2 linked regions of the Caenorhabditis elegans genome follow. The protein of the gene in region 1 interacts with the protein of each later gene in a pairwise test. Each region holds a gene or a part of one and is shown on either strand. Other genes may lie near its edges. The genes, in order: fath-1 and daf-3.

Region 1 (4,514 bases):
ACTTGGGATCTCGTTGTCGTTCTAGGGCCTCTCTGAAACCATGAAAATATTATCAATGATTTTTTCAATTTACACAAACCTTCGATCTTTGCCTTCTTGTGGAGTTAAAAAGCGACCTTGCATAGTTTGCTCATCGACAGTCCAAAGGAACATATCGTTGAGAGTATAACCAAAAGCTTTCCATCCAACGAAGAAAAGAACAAAAGAGACGATGATACGACGACGAGACACCTGAAATTATAAAATATCGTTTGGAAAAATGCGAGATTTGTAAATTACCTGTTGATAATTGATAGGTTTATTGGGGGTGAAAGAGCGGATTTTTTGCCGCAACATGCGGCGCCACTCCCAAACCAGCATTTTAGCAAACGGTCTTTGCCTTCTGGGTTGGCAAGAGTCCGAAGCGCTTCTTGATGATGATGCGATATTTGGAGTTCTTGTCTTCCGGCGAAAAGCGAGCTGGATGAGCGGTAAGAGTTTGCTCTCCAGATGGAGCAGTTCTCTTCAAAGTGTACACTCTTTGTTGGTTCTCGTCCAAGAAGTATCTCAAGAACATTGTCCGTTGAAAGTAGACTGAGTTCTGAAACTATCAATGATTTCTAAAACTTCTGAAACTATAGAGAAATATGAAATAAATACGGCGCATTGCAACGAAAAAAAGAATTAGCGAGAAAGAATGAAGGGGTGATTTCATTAGATATTTTTAAAAATTATTCCAAATTTCACGCATAACAGAAAGAAAACAAAACAAGAAGGAATATCACAAAATGTTTGATGGAAACCGGTAAGAAGTGAGGATAATAGGCACGTGCTGAGTAGCTGATCTATATAGATAAAATGTGAAAACAAGTTGAACTAATCTGGCGTACGAGAAAAGAAAAGGTAAATCGATAAATATATATGTACAACGGGTATAGTGGATCGTGAGAAAAGTGAATCGGGACAAGAGACTTAGAGATAAAAAACGTGAGGCAGAGTTCACTCAATAAACAACAAATTTTCCGAAAAAACATCTATGTATTATTATAATGGGCCCATTCCGAGTGTGTGGAAAACATAATCCCAAAGAGAAGTCGAAATTCCGAAGCCTGAAAAATGAAAATAGGCCTGAAATAGGGAAAATGATAGAAAAATTTCGATTGCGAAAATGAAAGTGCAAACGCGCTCCATCGCAAATCTGTGTAATTTTCCGTCAGAGAACATTATATTTCACGACAATTTGCAGATTATAGAAAATCTCAATTAAAAAACAGTTTTTAATGTTCTTGACTTAAAAATAACAAATTAAAAATTGATTTTTAAACAAAATCCCGTTAAATGTAACTTACCGACGTCAAAGTTTTTGAAGTGGTGATTATGATGATATACTTTTCTAAAATGTAAATTGCTGCGTGGACGAGGACTTCCGTGATGTAAATAATAGTGTACCATATCGTAGGTTACATATCCAAATAACTTTCCAGCGCCAAACGCGCAAAACACTGGCCTAAAACGATTAACTGAATATGGGAACCAGGAAAGGTTTAATACTGACCATTGGAAGGTATTGGAGTAGATTAAATAGAAAATTCCAACAATCAAAGTAGCTGGAACCGGAGGGAACACAAGGCGGTCTCCGTCCATCGGTGTTTTATGGTGAAGTCCATGAGCCAAGAAATGAAGAAGAATCTGATTCGGCGAATCTGGAGACGGCTTCCAATGGAAAACCCATCGATGAAGACTGTATTCAGTGAGAGTCCATGTCAAAACTCCAATGACGAACCAGGCAGACCACAGGAGAATCGAGTTATAAACATCGGTGGATGTTGAAAATGAGAGCACTGAGAGGATAGAAAAAGTAATGACGATCGGCATCCAAACAGCAGGGACCACCCACCAAGCTGTTCTTGTCATGCTTTCCAACACATCCGAATCGAAAAGTCTGAAAAAAAGTGAAAATTTGCATTGAAAAGTCGAGATCATCAATACCTTAAAGTTCCATCATATGGTTGATGAATCCAATGCCAATATTCAGAGCCAAGAGATCCAACTTTGAAAAGCATTCCGGATTTAGACTCAATCAATGGATCACCCTAGAATTTTAGAAATATTAATAATTAGATTTGATGGAAGGAACGAACTTTTTGAATTGCATTCACATTATATCTCTCGAGCATATTATAAGCGGCTTCCGAGTGCTCATGACGTACACCCATTATCCTTTTTTCTCCTCTGATAAATTCTCCAATTTCTTCTCCAGCCAAACGATTCAGAACCTATAAAAAGTTTGAGATTAGTAAAATATCCTAAAACTTGAAAAAAAGTTACCTTGGCACCTCCCGGATGTTTAGGCGCAAAATCAGCAATGTCATAATATTGCCCGTCGAGTTGTACTAGCAACGGCTTCTTCTCATCTGCTCCTATCCCCATATTTTCCACTGAAATATAGAAAATTATAAATTACGAAACGTTATAAATATAGAAAATATGAAACGGGGAAAGCAATATGATCATGATCTCATAGTAGAAAAATAAGTAGCAAAAGGAAATGAGCACATTCACCAGAAAACGTCATTTTCCGGTCAAGAAAAGCAGCCATATGAATTGAGGTTAGGGTATATTATGGGGACGCAGAAAAAATACCTATTCAAATTGAAGTGCAAAGCGCGCCGCCTCCGGGCCATGGGTCTCGGTAGGAAGTTGGCGGCAGAACTCATTAATTCAGACGTTTTTCAATTAGTTTCATATTAAAAAATTTTTGTTATGTTTTAAGTTGATTTTAAAGATTTCTTGTTTAAGAAATTAATGTTGTTTCATTTGACTAAAAATTCATGTCAGAATTTCAGCATCAAAATCTTTAAAAACAACATAATAAAAAAACGAAAAACACTATTAAAACGTTTCGATTGAAGGTTTTTCCGTCAAATACCTAACGAGACCCATGGTTTGGGGGCGGAGCGTATCATGTTTCTGCGTCCTCATAATATCACGAGTGAAGGAGCTGTTCGAATCAAAAAAGGTATAACGAGATTGCAGAATGGATTGTTTTTCAGTATTCACCTGCTTCAGAAAAGTGATGATTGATAGCTGGAAATACTTGAAAACAACTGAAAATAGAATAAAAATCTCTGCTACATTGCTATATTGAATAATTTCTCTCTCTCTCTGAGTCGGAGCAGGAAATGCACGTAGGTTCTCATTTAATTAGGTAAATCAACACCGAAAGAAAAGGGAAGCAAGTAGACGAAACGGGAAAACATAGTATTACATGAATTCTGCAAGGGATTCAGAGCACATACATATAATAGCATAGGAGAGAGCCGACACAAGAGAGGTGGGTGGTGGAGCAGGAGATGAAGGTGAAGGGTTTCTGAGCAAATTTGAAACATGTGCATTGGACATCAAATGTGTAATTTTGATATGTTGCACTTGGTCTTTGTGTTGGCCTGAGTCTAGTTAAAAACATTGGAACAATTGAGACATATCTGCCTCAAGTAATCATAGTTTCTGAGCTTCGAAATTTCTCGGTTTAATATAATTTAATTTAGAAATCTTGCAGCAGTTAAAATACGAGTTAAAATATATGAAAACACAAGTTTTGGAACTACCACAACTACGATTATATAGAAGACTGAAGAGTTTTCTGGCAAACAAACTGTCATTTTCCCACGATTTTCCTAGTTTTTCTAGACACAAATCGGGCACAATTGTGCCCGTTGGTACGAATACTTAATGAAAAATGTGCCATCTCAAATAAACCGAGCCTTTATAAATATATATTTGCAAATTGTGTGAGCCTTTTCCTATTTAAGCGGAGATGGCAGACGCTGAGGATGAAATATTCAAAAATTGTCCAGGATGTCATTCTGGAGCATTTAAATATTTTTGTAATTTTTAAGGATGTTAGTGTGGAATCTGAAGAGTTAATCTATATGGAAGGTGATGGAAGTTTGATTTAAAGTATCATAGCACCCGGGTTAAAAGAGTAGAGATTGAAAGAGCAAACTAGAGCAAGTGACCTAATTGAATTGAATTCAACGAGATAAAATGTGCGGAATGAGAGTGCGAGCCTATGTATGTGCACGGGCTCTTCGTCAGAAACGGGGGCAAACAATGGGGTTGAATATTTTGCCACCCCGTCTATCGTCCATCCTTCCTCTCCCGTCAGTCAGTTCGATGAAATGGAAAACGGGGGAGGAAAGGGGCGTGGCGGGAAAGGAAGGAAGGAAAGAAGAGGCTCATGCAATTTCCAAAATTGCGAGGAGTGCGGAGCCGGCGGCGGCGTGTGCTCCTCCAGCTCAAGAGAGGCTTTTAAGCTTCTCTGGGCGACGGAAGGAAAACACTGAGCGCGCGGGAAACGAGACGAGAACTTTGTAACCATTGACAAACATACACAAAAGAATGGACTTGGACTCTTGGAGCCATGCAGTTAAACCATAGAAACCACCGCATTGTCTTCTTATTTTCAAAGAGTAAGAAGGAAACTCATTCGACGGGAAACTAATTTAGTTGAGAAGAATACGACGCGGCGTCGA
Region 2 (8,047 bases), on another chromosome or scaffold:
GCCAAACGTTTTGATAGACGCACATCCGTAAACTTTGTGCACTTTATCCTTCTTTAGGCCTCCTGATTGCTCGTCGAGATACCCAGAAGTGACAAATACCGGGTACTTCATGCGGTTTTGAAGCCAAACACTCCCGTCTTTTTTGTAGGAAAAGCGAATTCCATCCACTATTGCTTTACTGAAACATTTCAATGGTTCAAAAGCTTTAAAAATTTGTGTTATTTCTTTAGTTAGAAAATTCATAAGCTGGAAACTATCGAACAACATTTCCGAATTTGGATTGGATTGTTACCCTGATACTGTCATTGCCCAAAAAATTGGATTGTAAAAAAAATTGTACCTATGTTCTATAATATATCAATAAGTTTCAGATTTACTTACCGAACTTTAAACGCCACTGGTTCTCTAATTGGATTTGGCTCAAGTCCGAGACTGTAACGATTCTCAGAGCAAATGAATCCGCCATCCACGTGGAAATTTCCTCTCGAACATTTTTTCTCGCCAATTTGCAAATTTTTCTCATAGTACACAATTGTTCCCCATTTTTCGTTCACTGAAAAAAGCAAGCAGTTTTTTTTTATGTTGTGAACATTTTAAATTTACTTGATCTTTTACATTTTTGGGTATTTATGTATTATATCCCCGTCGTTTTAAATGAAAGTTTTTAAGAAATAAAGCATGAAAACGTGTGGAAGATTTCTTGATGATAACCATTTCTAAATCTGAAGAAGATAATCCATATCACGTTTAATTTAAATAAAGTTATGAATGAAAATTTAATTTAATTTTATGTTGGCGGGGTATAATACATAATTACTCATTTTGTTTTCAATCACTAACACGATTTTTTAAAGTGAACTTTAGAGAGAAAAAAAAGAAACTTACAATCACTAACTTCTGGCCCCTCTCCTGAGAAAGTTACACTTTCTGATGTGAGCCTAAAAAATACTTGGCTTTTAATTCCATGAAAACTAGAACGAACCTCAAAATGAACTTGCAAATGTCATGATATGGTGCATCTTCCGGCATGATGTTCTCCAAAACCTCACCGTCTGTCATCCGCGGTCGAACAACTGTCACACCACAAATCGGCGAATCAAATTCCTAGAAAAAACACAATATTCTTGAATGAAAAACAAAAATCGTTTGTTTGATGATTCAGAAAGCAAAAAGTGACATTAAATTCAATATTTTGTTTGGCACCTTATCGACACAACTTATATGCGATAAGCTGTCAATCTTGAGTGACACGTACATAGTAGCTACATATTAGAAATACTTACTTCAATGAATTTGTTACTAGACCGAATTATTGCGCCGGATTGTTCACTTTCTCCTTCAAAAAATCGATTTCCAAATGTCTGTCTACAGTACCGACGGAACACGTCCAAGGTGACTGTTGATGGTTGTAACACTGTAATTGAGTTTACTTCAAGTTTTACAAATTTTAGGAATGAACTGAAAAGGCGACAAAAAAATGTATCATGTATGATGAAAAGTAAAATTGTTCGCAAAGCGGCTGTAGAAAATCTCTAAAAAAATGAGTTTTGAGAATCAAAATCACTGCTTTTAAACCAACTTCTTTATGCAATAAATCACCGACTATACAACTATAATCATACGCCTCGTGGTCTCAACTTGGCTATTTTTTTAGAAAATAAATCTGATAACTGATATGAAATTGGCAGGACACCTTTTCAAAATGTTGTAAGTTGGCATTTTCCAATCAATTTCAAATAAATTACATGTGTCTACCAGAAGAAGATATTTTGATGAGATCTAAAATAAAAAAACTGCAAAATGTTTATCGAAAAAAAAATTTGCAAAATTGATGCCTTTTCAAACCTACGTGCAAATTTAAAAGGCAAATATTTGAGGGGCTTCATCCTTTCTCGTTATTATCAAGTACTTATATTAGAATTTATGTATAAGGATTAAACTTAACATTAAATTTCCTGCAGAGATTTCTTGATTATTTTGCGAAAGAATATGAACTCTCAATACTATTCATAAAATTTTTTCATACTTAATTCTAGAGCAATTTAGTCAAAATTGTAAAAGCTGCACTTTTAGTGAAGTTTGAAAACGCTTCGTTTTCATCGGAAAAGGGCGAAAATCCAATAGAAAAATTCAAATAAGGCTCTGTTAATGGACATCCCAAAAAGGATTAAACTGCGGGAATTGGCTATGCACCTGTCCGCCTACTTATATTCTACCCCTTTATATAATGAGGTACCCATAAATAATATTTTGCCGTTTCTGGTTTGACACCTGGAGATATTAAACCTTTGTAAATCCATGCCTTGATAGGTGGCAGTATTGTGTGGCTGAGTGACTAAAATTATTAGCTCTCGGCTGGAACACCAAACCAGGGGTGAGCGGCAAACGATTTTTTCAGCCAAATCGGCAAATCGGCAAATTGCTTCAATTAAAATTTCCGTCAAATCGGCAAACCGGCTAATTGCCGGAATCGAAAATTTCCGGCGATTTGCTGAATTTGTGGACAAAAAAAATTGCCAAACGGCAATTGCCGCCCACCCTGACAGCGGACCGGCACATCCTGCCGACATCCGTTCAAAGTCGGAAATTTTCGGCAATCGACAATTCTTGCAATTGCGGCGTCCCTCTAGTTCAACCCTCATGCCTACTGTCAGAATAACTTTTTCTCCTTACAACAACTGTTTTTTTTTTAAATCATACGTACCTGGTCTTGAAATTGGTGGATCATTCGGTACCTGACCTTGGTGCCCTGGTTGATGACTGCCTTGTTGGGACGTATGGTTTTGTGATAGTTGTGGCGGCTGGTGTGGTTGCTGATTGAAAGGATGGTGAAAATCCGGATAAGGAGTTGGAAACCCGTACAAGTTCGGACCACAGTCGTAGGAATAGTGATTTGGATGGCTAATATCATTATAATGGTGATTTTGGTGGAATGGATTGTTGTTTTCTGAAGAGCAACTCGGCCCATTCATTCCATATCCCTGATGGAGAGGTGGTGGCATTTGTGGCATTTGCGGCATTTGCGGAATTGGGTTCATGTTCAACGGGTAATGGGTCTGTGGAGCAATGGAGTACGGATGTGAAACCCCTGGGTTATGTGGCGCCTGATGTGGGAGAGGATGGGCAAACGTTGCGCCAACTGAAGGCAATTGTTGAGGCATAGGCTGAGGCCTTGTGTGCATGTTCATCGGAGGCGGACGAATGGAAGCTGGTGGTATAAATCTACTCATATCGTCAACTGGATCCTGCCGACCTGGAGTGTGGTAGCGTTGATGTGGCGGCGGCATATCTCGATTGTCATGATCCCTCTGCCCAACAATCATAGTTCCAATGACAATTTCGTAGTGATAGGGATTCACGCATACCTGTAAGGCCTAATATTCATATTAAAACTTTTAAAAGTCACATCTTCTCAACATTAGGCAATCAACTTAATCAAACAAAGGTCACAGAGTTAACCGAATAAGGGAAGAAGCTAACATGTGCCACATCACATCAAAGGAAAAATGAAACAATTCACACTTACTTCACCTACCATGTCACTTTTCATTTCAAATGCGTGCTTGCAGTGGTCCACATGACGCGTTTCGTTTTTTGTCATTTCATTAAACCTCCACAGTTTGCCATAGACTACGTGAGGGAAACCTTTTCTTCCGTGGACCTGTAATTTGTATGGAGTTTGTGGGTACTTTGATATCATAAGCTGGTCTAATACAAGTTTCATAATGAAACGTCTCAAAATAAATTCCAAAACTTTTAAAAGTCGGATCATTTATCTAGCGTAGGTTCGTTGAAAGATCATAATTTAATGTCTATAGGCTCAAAATGTGTCCTAGAAATTTTTTTTGATCTCACCTGTAACCGGCCATCAAGTGTCCTTGGAATTGTAATGCAACCGGTATATTTTGTACCTTTTGAAAGAACCACATCAATCAGGTTCTGGAGATCATTCTTCTTATCCTTCAATTTTTTCACCAGGGACTCGCAAGCTTTTTGGTCGAACTCTCGATCAATATTGTTTTTGACCAAGTTCAACGATAATCGATTTCGTTTTGTCCGATACGCATTCAGTTGTATGAGTTCACTTTCTTTTAACTGAAAATGCAATATTGTAATCAGTACTACAAACTTAAGTATTTACCGTTCTATAATACATCAAATATTCTACAATTTTGTTTGGCGGCGCACTAGCGTCGGGAACTTCGATCTTTTTCCGTGCTTCATCTACTGCTGGTTTTCCAAGCTTCAACACATCCAAATCGTACTCGGTCATATTTGTGTTTTTTGTGTCAACTGAAAATATATTAAGTTCTTTTGCTCACACTTTTTTTGCCACTTACATAAATCTGGATCCGGGTAGTTGACACCATCTTCCGGGTCATCATCCTGACTGTCTGGATCCAAATATGGCGGGATTTCCATTTTAATACCACTCCGTTGTAGAATCTTTGTAGTTGTATTCACTGGTGACATCATCGGTGTGTGCTCGTCGGGAACTAGAAGAGAAGTTGCTATTAGCTTCATGGTCAGAGAGAAATAAGGTTTGATAAGCAACGAAATTTGGCAACAATTCGCTTATCAATACGTGTGTTAGTGACTGCCAGACGGTAAACATCATGAGGTTCGTGTTGAAATTTTAGATTTTTTGTTGGCAACAAATTCTTTTGAACCTTCTATTGCACCATTTATGCATCATATTCAACGTTTTTTTTTATTTTCAAGCTATACTACTATGTTCGACGTTATTTACCTTCAGTTTTCGGAGTGATTAGCTTCAACCCGCCATTGAATGCCAATGACTTGTTGGCATCACGAGGTGGTTTCGTGTCCAATGTGATTATTGGTTTAAATTCTGAATTTCAGTTTGAAATGTAAAATTTAAAAAGCAACAAAACGGGGAAGGTTTTTAAAACAAAAAGGAAAATAAGCATATCAAACCAACACAAACCACCATACACCACGACTACTAATCACGTAGGGAAATTGATTTGGTTTTCACTAGATTTCAGTGTTTTACAGAGTTTGCATTACTTGAAAGTTTAAAAAAAATTGAAATTTGAAAATAGAAAGCGAGAATTAGGCAACTGTTAGAAATGCTACGATTTTATTTGCAATTAGAAATACCTTTTTAAATTGATAATGTTGCAGTTTTGCAGCTAATACCAAGGTTGTTTCAGAGTATTCTATGGACAAAATTGCATGTATAACTATTTTTGGTACTTGTGTATTATGCTTCCGCTATTTTAGAAATTAATTTTTTAACTTATAAAATAAAAACTTATAAAACTCGTATTTACCATTCCTGAGCCCAACGAAGAAAATAGATATCAAGTTTAATTTAAATAGATAAATTAATGAAAAATTGATTAATTTCAAAAATAGCGGGAACAAGTACCCTATTTTTTATTTGGTATTTTTTGAGTGCAAAATTAATTTTCAATGTAAGTAGATATAAGAGAATGTAAGAGAATTTTGAGTTCCGCACTACTCGTTGCCACCTTAAAATACTAAAATTTTCTCTAGAAATGTACTAGATTAGTATGTACAAAATTAATAGAAACTGCAAGGCTATTTTCCAACTAGTCACTTCGGGTGCAAGACTAATTGGAAAAAGAAGATGTCTGTTAACTTATCAACATTTGTTCTACTACCAAAATAAGCGATTTTCTGAATAATTCGAATCTATTTTAATTGATATTTTATATCCAACACGACACTCCAAACACTTCACTCCTATAGCTACTATTTAAACTCACCATTAGCCATATTTCCTACATTGAGCAGATTAAAACCTGCTCCAGCCCCGAGCAGGTTCCTCTCATATTCCTCTACATCAGGAATATCTTCCAATCCATGAGAAGGTTTTCCACCATAAAGCGGCCCTCCGGTGCTGGTACCGGGCTGAGAATAGTTGAACTGTGGCGGGATGGAGGTACCGGGAAGGCCTGTAAGTTGGGATATGGACTATGGAATTGGTTTTTTTTTCAAAACTGAAACAGAAGATCCTGTTTTTTTATTCAAACTGTAACTTTTTTTTAAATAACATTCCGAAAATAAAGTAATTTCAATAAAACAAAAACTCACCCGTTAAATTATGATGATCACCCATTTATGTGTACTCTGACTATTAATATTTTTCCTTTACAATTTGATTACCTGTAAAATTGAGTTTTGGAATAAAATTAAAACAACAAGGAAAAACCGGGCGGCAAAGAAGTAGGAAATACAATACCAGCATGGACAATAAAAGGTACAAACTGTGGTATAAACCTGTTTGTCTTTTTTTTTTGAAATATCATGTTTCGTGGTATTTTTGGGAATAAAGGGAGATTGTGTTTATAGGGGAAAAAAAAAGTTGAGAAAAACTTTAATTGTAAAGCTTGATATTTTGAGCTACTGTCAAGATTTTTTGGTGTTTTCAGTAAAAACATATTCAGAAAGGAAAACCAAAAAACCACAGATTTAACTTTTAAAAAATATTATGATTTCGAAAAGAAAATTGAAAAGAATTGTGTTAATAGGAACTTGTTTGGAATCAATTTAAGAGAAATAAAAAAAAGAACGTGTTCAAATACGGGGTATTAAAAGTAATTTTTGACAGTCTATTAATAATAATAATTGACAATTCGAAAATAAAAATAAAAATATCCCAAATTAAAAAAAAAAGATCGAAACCAAACCACTACTTGTTTCTTCGTCTTCTATCTCTTTTTCTCGTTACGCACACTCTATCTCGCTCACTCTTAAACTACGTACGTGTGTCTGCGTCTCTTCGCCCAGCACACTATTTCATTGCTAAAAGTGTGTTGAGGTGGCAGTGCTCGCTGCAAAGAATCGATAAGTTGAGCGTAGTTGGACCAACAAGTGAGAAGACGGGGGGAATAAGATAATGAGGGAACAAGTAGAGAGCTACAAGAGAGTGCACATGACCTCGGTTTGATGTTTTGATCTTTTTTTACTGAAAAAAGAGATTGATAAGAAACTTACAAAAAACCTCTCGTGCAAAACAAAGGAAAAAAAGAACTTCAAGCGTTTTTACCTAAATAATTGTTTTTTTTTATAAGGGTAGTTTGACCTATGCTAAGCATAAAATAGTGAGCTAACTAGAAAAAATAAGTGGTAGACCTACATTGTAAGTACTCAAACATCACAATTTTTAAAAAAAGATCTACAAAATGTATAGATCACTTTCTAGATGACTCATATATATTTTTTGTTTTCACTGGTCTCATCTCAGTTTGATTTTTTGAAATCTCGCCAAATTGATGCGTGTGATATCAGAATGTTTTGTATTAGATTTGTGCAATTGTTTCAGCGAAAAAAACGCTCAAATTTTGTGACCAAAACTGTGTCATAATTAATTAACAAGAAACCACTGAACTATTTGAACATAAACAGAAAAAAAAAGTTGGCTAGTCATTTGCTTTTGGCGAAAAAATTTTGTTTGCATTGATGAAAGTTCATTAGTTTGATCAAGCGGTCAAAAAAAACCGCAAATATTTGAATGAAATCCGTAGATACAATGTGGGCCGAAGGTCAGAGAGACCATGGCATTTTTCAGATAATTTTTTTTTATTGAAAAGGTGGCCACCATAATTCTGAAAAAAAAACCGCGTCTACAGAGAGTATTCAAAAAAAGTTAAATTTTTTTTGTAAAGTTGAAATAACAAATTTTGCCCAATTTAGTTATAACTGTTAAAAATTTGTGGTAGACATTTTAAACAAGAGGAATAAGAGAAATTTATATGAAAGTCGTTAAGGCATTTTTCATTGCACAAAAACTTACAAGATTAAAAAAATTACAATCTCACAGTCCAAACAATCAAAAAACAAATTCAACTAAAGAATCGCGTGATCTTAGCCTTGAAACCGTCAATTATTAACACCTCTAGTACTATAAAAGCGATGGTTTTTCAAAAGATTTTATCGTGAAAGATATCACAGCAGAAACAAAAAGTTCAATTTTTATTGAAGACACTTTTCTTGTACTCTAAACTTGTGAACACGGAATTTTAAAATGTTTACAGAGGCATATAAGATATGTGGA

Evidence for each region.
Region 2: the proteins of fath-1 (region 1) and daf-3 interact in a two-hybrid assay, tested with the Caenorhabditis elegans proteins (one study listed by BioGRID).

The regions. Positions count from the first base shown.
Region 1 is NC_003279.8:10,175,084-10,179,597, reverse strand, and holds fath-1 (Fatty acid 2-hydroxylase), read right to left. Parts: upstream 2,418-4,514; 5' UTR 2,410-2,417; coding exon 2,308-2,409; intron 2,256-2,307; coding exon 2,121-2,255; intron 2,073-2,120; coding exon 1,969-2,072; intron 1,922-1,968; coding exon 1,535-1,921; intron 1,487-1,534; coding exon 1,329-1,486; intron 1,089-1,328; coding exon 1,024-1,088; 3' UTR 683-1,023; downstream 1-682. Other genes in the region: C25A1.16 (uncharacterized protein), read right to left, coding at 1-32, 80-231, 280-360; nola-3 (Putative H/ACA ribonucleoprotein complex subunit 3), read right to left, coding at 362-556.
Region 2 is NC_003284.9:819,318-827,364, forward strand, and holds the start of daf-3 (Smad protein daf-3), read right to left. Parts: upstream 6,110-8,047; coding exon 6,085-6,109; intron 5,946-6,084; coding exon 5,757-5,945; intron 4,853-5,756; coding exon 4,751-4,852; intron 4,530-4,750; exon of another isoform or gene 4,525-4,529; coding exon of another isoform or gene 4,497-4,524; coding exon 4,341-4,496; intron 4,294-4,340; coding exon 4,142-4,293; intron 4,096-4,141; coding exon 3,856-4,095; intron 3,662-3,855; coding exon 3,527-3,661; intron 3,375-3,526; coding exon of another isoform or gene 3,366-3,374; coding exon 2,705-3,365; intron 1,415-2,704; coding exon 1,284-1,414; intron 1,105-1,283; coding exon 983-1,104; intron 939-982; coding exon 886-938; intron 554-885; coding exon 382-553; intron 179-381; coding exon 1-178. UniProt on the Caenorhabditis elegans protein: Transcriptional regulator and common SMAD (co-SMAD), required to regulate entry into a developmentally arrested larval state known as dauer, in response to harsh environmental conditions.